Sus scrofa: one gene and its partners. The protein of the gene in region 3 purifies or fractionates together with the protein of the main gene of each other region. This does not show direct contact. Links are inferred from orthologs where the notes say so. Each region holds a gene or a part of one and is shown on either strand. Other genes may lie near its edges. The genes, in order: DCAF7, AXIN1 and MAP3K1.

What was found.
Region 1: the proteins of MAP3K1 (region 3) and DCAF7 purify together in Homo sapiens (affinity purification with mass spectrometry; 3 studies listed by BioGRID and IntAct, with this or other methods). This does not show direct contact. The link is inferred for Sus scrofa from reciprocal best matches to the Homo sapiens genes MAP3K1 and DCAF7.
Region 2: the proteins of MAP3K1 (region 3) and AXIN1 purify together in Homo sapiens (affinity purification with western blotting; 5 studies listed by BioGRID and IntAct, with this or other methods). This does not show direct contact. The link is inferred for Sus scrofa from reciprocal best matches to the Homo sapiens genes MAP3K1 and AXIN1.

Annotation. Positions count from the first base shown.
Region 1 is NC_010454.4:15,348,172-15,352,473, reverse strand, and holds the start of DCAF7 (DDB1- and CUL4-associated factor 7), read left to right. Parts: upstream 1-1,477; 5' UTR 1,478-1,729; coding exon 1,730-1,867; intron 1,868-4,302. UniProt on the Homo sapiens protein: Involved in craniofacial development. Acts upstream of the EDN1 pathway and is required for formation of the upper jaw equivalent, the palatoquadrate. The activity required for EDN1 pathway function differs between the first and second arches.
Region 2 is NC_010445.4:41,368,893-41,372,538, forward strand, and holds part of AXIN1 (axin-1), read left to right. Parts: intron 1-3,030; coding exon 3,031-3,177; intron 3,178-3,646. UniProt on the Homo sapiens protein: Component of the beta-catenin destruction complex required for regulating CTNNB1 levels through phosphorylation and ubiquitination, and modulating Wnt-signaling.
Region 3 is NC_010458.4:35,941,782-35,945,427, forward strand, and holds part of MAP3K1 (mitogen-activated protein kinase kinase kinase 1), read left to right. Parts: intron 1-11; coding exon 12-154; intron 155-859; coding exon 860-991; intron 992-2,709; coding exon 2,710-2,859; 3' UTR 2,860-3,646. UniProt on the Homo sapiens protein: Component of a protein kinase signal transduction cascade. Activates the ERK and JNK kinase pathways by phosphorylation of MAP2K1 and MAP2K4. May phosphorylate the MAPK8/JNK1 kinase.

The DNA of each region.
Region 1 (4,302 bases), on a different chromosome or scaffold from region 3:
TCTTAAGAGAGGGTATTTTCCTCTCAATTAGTCCATGTATGTGAATGAATATTATTTTTTTATTAGAGGAAGACATAAACACAGAAAACTTGTTCACCTACGGAAGTGGATAGGACTGTGAGGAGTTTGTTACATTAAACAGTGTCACTCAGTCACTCAATTCTTTGAATTCTTTCTTTTTTTTTTTTTGGCCACCTGGAAGCACATGGATATGGAGTTCCCTAGCCAGGGATCAGATCCCAGCTGCGGTTGCCGTCTACACTGCAGCTGTGGCAACCCTGGATCCTTAACCCACTGTGTGGGGCTGGTGATCAAACGTGCGTCCTTCTTTCTGAGTTTTCTGTTAACAATCACTTTTATCACTAAAAACTATATATATATAGTCTTTTTAAGGTCACATGTGCCCTAACTATTGAGGTTCCCACGATAAGGATCGAATCAGAGCTGTAGCCGCTGGCCTACACCACAGCTCATGGCAATGTCGGATCCTTAACCCACTGAGCGAGGGCAGGGATCGAACCTGCGTCCTCATGGATACTAGTCAGATTTGTTTCCATTGAGCCACAACAGGAACTCCACTAAATACTATATTTAATGATATATTATCTAACAATTCAATACAATTTTTTGCTTAGTTTTGTTGAAAGCAAATTATTGGAAACCATTTAAATTATAAAGAGATGTTACCTAGATTCTGACCCTTCCCCATTTCAAATTCAAGACACTTATATATTTAAGGCTAGATTAGCATTTGCCTTGGGACGCTCGTGGGAAAAGATGGAAACAGAAGCTGACAGCCACGCTGGCGGGGTTGCTGCCTGCTGAAGACCAATCCTCTAATTCCAAGCACTTCTAGAATGGCCAGGAAAGGTTGACTGAAGCTGGCCTGGTCCTGAGTAGAGCGGCGTGTCCGCCGTCTGCCCTTGGTACGCTGGGAGAACAACATTCCAATTTAAAGGAGGCGTTGGCGAAGCAGGGAAATAAAGGGGTTTCCCTTCGGCGCAGGCCCGTCCGCAAGGCCCGGGAGCTCAGTGCCGCGAAACGCAGCAGGCCCTCTCGTAAGGCAGACTTTTCATTTTCACTCGCCAACGTGGAGAATCCGGTCAGAATAGCAGCTGCAGTGGGGAAGTCAGAGCAGTCACGTAAGAGGTTTCACTCTCAGAGACTTGGCCTAGAACTTGGAGGCCTGCTGCACAGTACGCGAGCTTTTAAGCCGCCCACACCCCGATTCACCCGCACTGCGCCGTTATCTCTCTGACTGACATCTTTGTCAGCCAATGACCTTTGTGGCTGTGAAAGCGCCTGCCCCCTGGAGTTGGGCAGAGCAAGTAATCGGAATGACAACCATACGCACCAATAGCAAGGAGGTTTCAGAAGCTACGGGTACACTAGCCAATGAGGAGAAGGAGCCGTTCGAAAGGACGTGTCAGGTAGCCAACGGCCGGCGCCGCTGAGGGGGTCGCGTGGCTTCCGTTCTAGAGGGTGGGGCGGGGTCTCAAACGGAAGGTGGTTGTTGTCCGAGCCGAAGCAGGTTTGAAAGTGGGGGTCGGGCTCGGCTGTCGTTGTCTGTAGCAGCGGCCCCGCTTCCGGGCTAGGCTGTCCGTACCCGCCCCCGCCCCGCCTCCCTTCGGACCCCTCCGTCCCAGGCCTGACTCCCTGCCCGATTCGCGCCCCGCCCGCCGCAGCTCGCTGCCGTCCCGGCCCGCACTGCGGCCCCGCCGCCGCCACTATGTCCCTGCACGGCAAACGGAAGGAGATCTACAAGTATGAAGCGCCCTGGACCGTCTACGCCATGAACTGGAGCGTGCGGCCCGACAAGCGCTTTCGCCTGGCGCTGGGCAGCTTCGTGGAGGAGTACAACAACAAGGTGGGCCGGGCAGGGGCTCGGAACCCAGCTAGAGGGACGCGGGCACCTGGAGCGCCCTTTCCCGGCCGGAGCTCAGACCCCAGGACCCTCCTGCGGACCTGCCTTAGCGCCACGGAGCGGTTCCTCTGTGTCTGGCCCTGTGCAGAGGGTTTCGCTCTCGTCTCATTTAATCCTTGCAGCATTCCTGGGTAGTCAGGAGTGTAGTTACCCGCATTTTACCGATGGGGGAACTGAGGCACCGTGTTGTGACTTGCCCCAGTCAGACAGCTATTGCGTGACGGAAACAGGTCTCAAACCCAAGTTTGCAGCGCAGAGCTGTGCCGTTTATCACGCCTATCCCCTCCTCTCCTGCAGCTTCAGTTGGGGGGCGGAGGAGGGATGAGGGAGTGATGGCTGCGAAGAAGATGCTGGAGCCCCGTGGTCCTTCTCCCCTGGCCACACTAGATTTCTATTAGGACTGTTTAGCAGGTTTCACCGCCCCCTGTTCCCTGGATTTCCCCAGCCTTTCTGCCGGGATTGCCATTGCTATTGCTGCCTCATATTCGTCCTCTTCAAAGCTATCTCTTTTTGGAAATCTTGCCAATGGCTATTGTCTTCTGCATAGAAAAGGGTGATGCTTGCCATTTGTTTTCTTGGCATCTTTCATGCTGATACAGACAAGTAACCTGGAGTAGAAGTAAGTCTTTCTGGACATCCACAATTTGAGAATCCTTTTTAGAAGCGCGGTTAATAGGAGGAAGCTTGAAGCTGGCAGTGACACATAAATTTAGTTTTGGAAGTTGAATAAGTTAGTGGAAAGAATTTTCTTTCCATTACTCCGTAGTTTGCCATTTATTGTATTAGAGTAAGCGTTGTGATTGACTGATAGTGATCAGAGCAACTGAGAGCCATGCTTAGTGGTGTTTAAAACCTGTACACCTGCTTGACACCAGGAACAGTCTAATTTAAGAATAAATTGTGGGCAGAGGCATGGTGCAGGGGAAAAGGCCAGGTGCTCTAGGATTAGGCCTTGTCTAGTCCACTGATTAGCTGTGGGACACTGCATAGGTAAGTTTTATTATTTCTGACCCACAGTTTGTTGTAGGAAAGAAGTCCTTTAGAAAACATTTGAGCATTGTAATTTTGTTTGCAGGTTTTCAGGAGCACATCTTAGAATTAGATCTTAAGGAGTTCTGGTTGTGGCTCAGCAGTGACGACCCGACTAGGATCCATGAGGAGGCTGGTTGGATCCCTGGCCTTGGTCAGTGGGTTAAGGGTCTGGCGTTGCCAGGAGCTGTGGTGTAGGTCACAGACACAGCTTGGATCCCAAGTTGCTAGAGCTGTGGTGTAGGCCGGCAGCTGCAGCTCCAATTTGACCCCTGGCCTGGGAACTTCCATATGCTGTATGTATGCCTTCCCTCCCCCCAAAAAAATTAGGTCTTAAATTTTTTGTAATCCTTTTTGAGAAATTGATGAGAACAATGGACTCTTGTTGCCCAGACATCCCACATACACACTTTACAAACAAATCCCTGAAAGTATGCACTGATCTCGGAGTCCACGATTTCCCACAGAAACCAGAGAGTCCTGAAAAGACATAGCTTTATTTTTCTTCTGGAGCCTCTTTCTTCCTTATGGCACATAGTGGACCGCAGAGCTGCTAAAGTGAAATTCAGGGTCCTGATGTGTAAACTGAATTAGTAAAGTTGAGAGCACTAGAACTGTTGTTTAAGAATACATGTTTAAACAAAGGGGGGGTGGTAGTAAAATACATCTTTCAAAGGGCTTGAGTCTTTTCACACAGACGGATGGATTTTTTTTTCTTGCAAGGTCAATTTAGGTAAGCAGTAGCAGCCCCATTTCTAAGAGATGAGAAACCAAGCCACAGTTAGGCTGCTGGTAGAATCAGTGGAGTAATTGGTGTCAAACTTTGGTTGCAGGAACTCTGCCCCCAAATTTATCCTTTCAATTATGGAGCTCCTTCTTTGTGCCAGGCACGCAGGCAGTGTGGTTTTAGTCGTAAAATGCTAATTGATAATCCCAGTAGTAATAGAATAAGCAGTTACCTCTGTCTTAACTCACTTGCGTAATGTGGGCAACGTGGTGTCTTAAAATGGTTTTTGTGTCCCCTGCCCCAGGTCAGAGTTCTTGTGTGTGTATATGTGTTTGATGGACAGCTTTGGCAGTCGGAAGCCAATAGACCTCTGTTCATAATTATGTTTTCAAATGCATAAAATACATGGGATTACAAAGGAAACCAACCATATGACTCATAGTTACTAAAAACATTTTTTGGAGTTTTCTCATGGTGCAGCGGGTTAAGGATCCGGTGTCGTCACTGCATCGCCTTGAGTTGCTGCTATGGCTCTGGTTCAATCTGATCCCTGGCCCTAGAACTTTCGAGTGCCGTGAGCATAGCAAAAGGCAAAACTATTTATTTTTTTTAGAAGTAGGTT
Region 2 (3,646 bases), on a different chromosome or scaffold from region 3:
GCTTCCGGGTCTGGAAGGAGCTTAATCGCTGTTCGCATTCCTGCCCCAGCCCCGCTCTGTCCGCTGGGCTGTGATCTTGGCCCCGCCCGGCCTGTGGCAAGTGCCTTTCCTGCTTAACCTCGCTTATGGCTGGGCCACCCTTGGAGTGGCACAGGACACCTCTTGTGCCTGGTGCTGCTGGGCAGCTGTCAGCTGCTGGAGCAGCGGTGGGCGCCTCGCACCAGTGTATGCACCTGCATCGGGCCAGGGCCCTGTGACCTGAAGGGATCAAGGTCCCACCGGTTGGGGACTCCAGGGGCCAGTAAACACCAAAATAGAACTCTGGGAGGTGTTTGGTTTGGCTGCTTTTATGTGGCCAGGTTATAACATTAAAAAAACAGAAACAAAGTGCACCTTATCTGCTCCTCAGAGACCTCCCTGCTTGCCTGGGGAAGTTGTTGTGGCGCGGAGGGCCTGGCCCCTGCTGTTTCCCCCAGGCCGACGTGGAGGTGGAGTGCGTGGCACAGGGCCTGTCTTATCCCAAGAACAGAGGCTTGCTTGTCACACTGCGTGTGGGAAATCACTGAGGGCTGGGTACCTGAGCGGTTCTGGGAGGCTGTGCGGACGCTGGTAAGCCACTTAAGCCATTATTTTTTGCGAAACAAATGGGCATGATTTGAAGCACAAATAGTATGTGCCTGAATTTCCGAGTGTGGATCCCGAGACTTCTGCTCGGGGCTGCTGGCCGAGGAGGTACAGAAGTGCTTCTGTGGGGCTTTGCCGGCAGCGAGCTCCCGGGTCAGGCTGCAGGTGGGCCGGAGGGCGGAGAGGCCTGCCTGGTGTTTGGCCTGCCTGGTGTTCGGCCTGGGAGCAGCGAGACTTAGGGATCCTCTTCCATCCAGAGGGTTTCCGGAGTAGGAGGCCTCACACCTGTGGTTTTGGACAGGCGGGCAGTCCATGCAAACCTCCTGCCGAGAAGAGCTAGAAACGCTGGACCTGGGTTTTCTTAATCGAGTTGCAGCAGTCGGAGAGCTGAGCACACAGGAAGGGTCGAGAGCCCTGGTCAGGCAGGCGAGCTGGGTAGTGTGTCTGGCCCTAGGGGTCCAGGCGGCTCAGGCCTGCCTGGGAAGGGGTTCCCCCTGCGGGGGGTGGACTCTCTGTTCCTGACTTGGGTTAAGGTGGCTGGGTTCCCGGGTCTCATGCACATGCTCTGGAGAGCGCCACATCCTAGGCTGCGGGTTCAGAAGAATTTCCACTCACGGTGTCTGGCTTTCCATCCAGAATAACCAGATGCTGAATGAAAAATCAGGCACATAATGGAGTTCCCGAGGTGGCACAGCGGGAACATATCCGACTAGGAATCATGAGGTTGTGGATTTGATCCCTGGCCTCGCTCACTGGTAAGGATCCGGCGTTGCCGTGGCTGTGGTGCAGGCCGGCAGCTGTAGCTCCGATTCGACCCCTAGCCTGGGAACCTCCATATGCTGTGGGTGCGGCCCTAAAAAGCAAAGAAAAAAACCCCAGGCACTTAAAGATCCAGAATGATGATGTAGTTCCCGTCGTGGTGCACTGGTTAACGAATTCGACAAGGAACCATGAGGTTGCGGGTTCGATCCCTGTCCTTGGTCAGTGGGTTAAGGATCCGGTGTTGCTGTGGTTGGTGTAGGTTGCAGACGTGGCTTGGAGCTCTTGTTGCTGTGGCTGTGGTGTAGGCCAGTGGCTACAGCTCCGATTAGACCCCTAGCCTGGGAATCTCCATATGCCGCAGGAGCAGCCCTAGAAAAGGCAAAAAGATTAAAAAAAAAAAAGAGAGAGAGAGAGAGAGAGATACAGGATGATGATAAAAGCCTTGTGGATCCAGATAATAGCACAGCTCACAGACACCTTCTTGGTGGAGACCCGTCAGGGCTGGGGCAGGGGGCGGGGAGTGTTCACAGAGCAGAGATGAAGGCAGAGGATTATAATCCACTGCATAAAGTACCAACTTGCGCGTCCACACTGACGCAAATACACATGGAGAGAAAAAGAGCCTGCCTTAGAGTTTCCAGACACCAGCTAATAAATAGAGGTCCAGAAGTTCCCACTGTGGCGCACAGGTGAATGATCTGCCTGGTCTCTGCGGAGGCTCCACACTGTGGGTTAAAGATCCGGCGTCGCTGCGGCTGTGGTGTAGGTTGCAGCTCCAGCTCAGATTCCATCCCTGGCCCTGGGACTTGATGTGCTGTGGGGTTGGCCATAAAAGGAAATAAAACACCCCCAAAACAATGAAGGTAGACCAGTTGATGGGTATGCATAGAATTTGTGTGTGAGCCTAAAGTATCTCCCCACACGTCACCTCTTATGCACAAAGGGAAAAGAACAAACCCAGGGAGTTCCCCTTGTGGCTCTGTGGGTTAAGAACCCGACTCGTATCCATGAAGATGCAGTTTGATCCCTGGCCCCACTCAGTGGGTTAAGGATCTGGCTGCGAGCTGTGGTGTAGGTTGCAGATGTGGCTCAGATCTGGCGTGGCTGTGGCTGTGGTGTAGGCTGGCGGCCTCAGCTCTGATTAGACCCCTAGCGTGGCAACTGCCATATGCTGTAGGGTGTGGCCCTAAAAAGACAGGAAAAAAAAAAAAAGGAAGAAAGGAGCGGAGTTCCTGCTGTGGCGCATGGGTTGGGGATCCAGCTCAGATTTGATCCCTGACCTGGGAACTAACTTATGCTGCGAGTGCGGCCAAAGAAAAGGGTACGGGGGGGAATCAAGACAGTTTAAGACCAGCAGACGTTGAGGAAGCTGTCACCAGCAGCCTGTTACCGAAGGTCCCGTTTAAGGTGTTGGGGCCGAAGGGAGAGCGGGTGGGGGGCAGGAGTGTGGGGAGCGCGAGGTGACTGTGGGGACAAGGCAGTGCCGGCAATGCTGGTGGGTTTCGTTTGTTTGCTTGCTTTTTTAGTGGCCGTGCCCACGGCATGTGGAAGTTCCTGGACCGGGGACCTACTCCTTGCTGCAGCTGTGGCGGTGCTGGATCCCTTAACCCAGTGCAGTGAGGGTCTCTGTTGTCATCTCTGCAGGAGCCACGGAAAGAGTAGTGGCAAGATGACTTTATTCCAGGGAGGGACGGAAAGTAAAAGGTTCTCCAGGAGCTCCCGCCGCGGCTCAGCGGTTAACGAACCCGACTGGCATCCACGAGGACGTGGGTTCAAGCCTCACTCAGTGGGGTAAGGATCCGGCGTTGCCGTGAGCTGGGGTGTAGGTGGCAGATACAGCTCGGATCCCGCGCGGCTGTGGCTGTGCCGTAGGCCGGCGGCTGCAGCTCCAGTTTGTCCCCTAACCTGGGAACCTCCATATGCCACGGGTGCAGCCCTAAAAAGCAAAATTTAAAAAAAATAAAAATTGAAAAAGAAGTCAGGAAGAACGAAAGAAAATAGCAGATCCGACACACAGAAAGCCAAGAATAGGATAGTGGATCCACTCACTGAGACCACTCTGAATGCAGCAGGAGCAAGTGATGCAATTAAAAATGGAAATGAATCCGACTAGGAACCAGGAGGTTGCGGGTTCGCTCCCTGGCCTCACTCAGTGGGTTAAGGATCCGGCGTTGCCGTGAGCTGGGGTGTAGGTGGCAGATGCAGCTCAGATCCCGCGTGGCTGTGGCTCTGGCGTAGGCTGGCGGCTACAGCTCCGATT
Region 3 (3,646 bases):
TTTGTTGACAGGTGCCAATTTGCTAATTGACAGCACAGGTCAGAGACTGAGAATTGCTGATTTTGGAGCTGCAGCCAGGTTGGCATCAAAAGGAACTGGTGCGGGAGAGTTTCAAGGACAGTTGTTGGGGACGATTGCATTTATGGCACCTGAGGTGAGAAACAGCTTTGAGTGTGATGAAATATTTTGCAATTCTGTGTGACAGCATTATACCAAGTAATTCTGCAGTGTTATCCACTATGTGCTGACTAATTAGAAGTTTATGGCCCTAAAAACAAGGTTTTAATGATAGCCTTGATTTCAGACCATTAATCCCTGCCTTCCCATAGCCTTTAAGCAAATCTATTAAAACCTATTTCTAACAGAGAATTATTGGGTAATTTATAGTAGTTGTTTTGAACTCAACCCAAAGTACACATAATAGAAATTTTTTAAATTGTTCTCTATTACAAGAGGAGATGAGCACACAAAAGCAAATCTTAGTAGAAGCTTTAGAAGTAGTACCAGTTGTTTAAGCGTTGCTGCTTTGACCTTGGCCGCCTCTTCTGTTGTGTTTAGAACTCTTCATGTTCATACATAGTGATTATTGTCTTCTTGCCCTGTAGTTTGCTAAACGTACTGAGGTGGCTTTGAAATTCTATGATACAACCCTGCTTCAGGATCTCACAATTCTCCAAAATATTTTTGTTCCACATATGAGATAAAGTTTGTTAATGAAATAAATGAGACATCAGGTAGTCTATGGAATTGCTGTCTCAAGCACTGTTTTACTCTGAAGTAAAAAAACTAGAATCCATAACTACAGAATGGCTTTTTTTAATGAGTCATATTTCCAAATTAACCCTCGGCTTTATTTTAGGTCCTAAGAGGTCAGCAGTATGGTAGGAGCTGTGATGTATGGAGTGTTGGCTGTGCTATTATAGAAATGGCTTGTGCTAAACCACCTTGGAATGCAGAAAAACACTCCAATCATCTTGCTTTGATATTTAAGGTAATTGTGAGATAAATTACTTATTTTTGCTAAAATTGGCAAGGGGCAAATTTTCATGGGTTCTCCTTAACTATCAACCTAACGTGAAGGCATATCTTCCGTGAAATAAATACATGTTTATATCTCCAGGAATTTATGTGGTGTGGTGAATGTTGGCAGCATATACAGTCACTTCTCATTATTCATGGTAGTCAAGTCCCTGAATCTGCAAATACTGAACCACTGCTTCTGGATGAAATATGTATCTATATATGTATATATCAAACATTTGAATTAAAAAACTTGAAGCTCTTTACGTATTGCATGATCAAAAATTTTTTATTCTAATTTATTATGTCCTGTATTTTAAAAATTCACTCCTGGAGTTCCTGTCATGGCACAGCGGAAACTAATCCAATTAGGAACCATGAGGTTGCCGGTTTGGTCCCTGGCCTCGCTCAGTGGGTTAAGGATCCGGGGTTGCTGTGAGTTGCGGTGTAGGTCGCTGACACAGCTTGGATCCTGCATTGCTGTGGCTGTGGTGTAGGCTGGCAGTTGTAGCTCCAATTTGACCCCTAGCCTGGGAACCTCTGTATGCTGCAGGTGTAGCCCTAAAAAGCAAACAAAAAATAAATTAAAAAATTTCACACGTAAGTCAGAGGCCAAGTCTGTTCTACTTTGCTGACAACTCTCAAATCCATTCTCTCCATTTCTACCAGAGAATAGTGTAATGATTGAGATTTATTCTGCCCACCTTCTGTTTTCTTTTTTTTGTCTTTTTGTATTTTCTAGGGCCGCATCCACGGCACATGGAGGTTCCCAGGCTGGGGGTCTAATTCGTAGCCGCTGGCCTACACCACAGCCACAGCAATTCCAGATCCGAGCTGCGTCTGCGACGTACACCACAGCTCACAGCAACGCTGGATCCTTGACCCATTGAGCGAGGCCAGGGATCGAACCCGCAACCTCATGGTTCCTAGTCGGATTCGTTCACCACTGAGCCACAACAGGAACTCCTTGTTTTCTTATTGATAAAATGGATATAATAGTAGCACCTACTTCATTAATTATTTATATTATGAGGATAAACAGAATTACCTCTGGGCCTGAATAAAGCACTTGGCATACATAGTCACCTCTGTGCAGAGTGGCTAGTATTAGTCCTCTGAGCTGACCCCCAGCACCTCTCACCTGCCCTAACCTCCTTCTGTCCTCCCCATGCTGATATAACTTCCTCAGTCACCTGAAAAATATCAGTGCAGTTGTGTTTCTGATGTACTAAATTGACTGGCCAGGTGTAGTCTTACTTACTCTGAATAGCTCTCTGCGCTAAAATATATATATATATATTTTTTTCATATATATAAATGAAGCAAAGAGGGCAGACTCTTTTGGAGAGTGAATATGAGGAAAGCAGAATTGATCTGAATGAATACTTTACTTCTCTAATAATTCTGATGCACTTAGCCTTGTTCATTTACGACAATAAAGAGAATTTGTAGTACCATCTGATCAGGATGCGTTTGGTCAAAGTCTAAAATCCTAAAATTTGAAGGAAACCTCTCATCCATGGGTGAGTTTTTCCATAGACTCCTTGTTAGCAAAAGCCCGCCCACTTCTGTTTTAATTCCTCTAGGTACAGGATGCCTCAACAGAGGTTATGAAATATATGCCACATGTGATTCTTTATCAAAAGTTCCAGTTGTCGGGAGCTTTAACACGAGGGTTTTCTCTTACAGATTGCCAGTGCAACTACTGCTCCATCAATCCCGTCACATCTGTCTCCTGGTTTACGAGATGTGGCGCTTCGTTGTTTAGAACTTCAACCTCAGGACAGACCTCCGTCGAGAGAGCTACTGAAGCATCCAGTCTTCCGTACTACATGGTAGCCATTATACAAACAAACTATAATGGAGACAGGATGCTTAACAAGAGAAAAAACTTTTGTGGGGAACCACGTCGATAATCTACTGGCCTTTGTGCCACTGAACAGCTATGAATGAGAACAGTGGGGAACCCTTACCTAAGTATGTGATTGACAAATCATGATCTGTACCTAAGCTTAGTATGCAAAAGTCCACAATTTGTGCAGAAACTGTAAACCGTGCCTTTCAAAGAACTGGCCGTAGGTGAACAGGAAAGCAATGAAGTTTGCATGACTAATTAACAGAAGCATAATTTTTTTGGAGCACTTTTTCAGCAATATTAGCAGCTGAGGGGCTCAGGATCAATTTTAATGTTTCAATTATTCTTCCATTTCATATTGTGGTCACAAGCAAGGGGTTCTGCAGTTCTTTTTTTTTTTTTTTGGTCACTGGTTATAAAAATCATCTGCCTCTTTTAGGTCAGAATATGCTATAAGTAGCAGAAATAAATATATTTTTTAAAAGTTGATAACTTCTTTATGACCTACAGTTGACCTTTATTTTTTTAAATACCTGGGCAATTGTGGTTCATTGTGCATTTTACTGTTGGCCAATTCATTTCTTTTTTGGAAATTATGGTTCTATATTTTCATTTCACCTTCACTTTTGTTTAATATTCAGGGAAAGGTGATCTTTTCAAACCAGAAAAAAAAAATAGAACTAGATGTGAACTAGAGTTTATTAAATATCTTGCTATTGCAAGAGTTTTTTAAATACAGATTTAATTTTGTTTTTAAAATTGGAATATAAT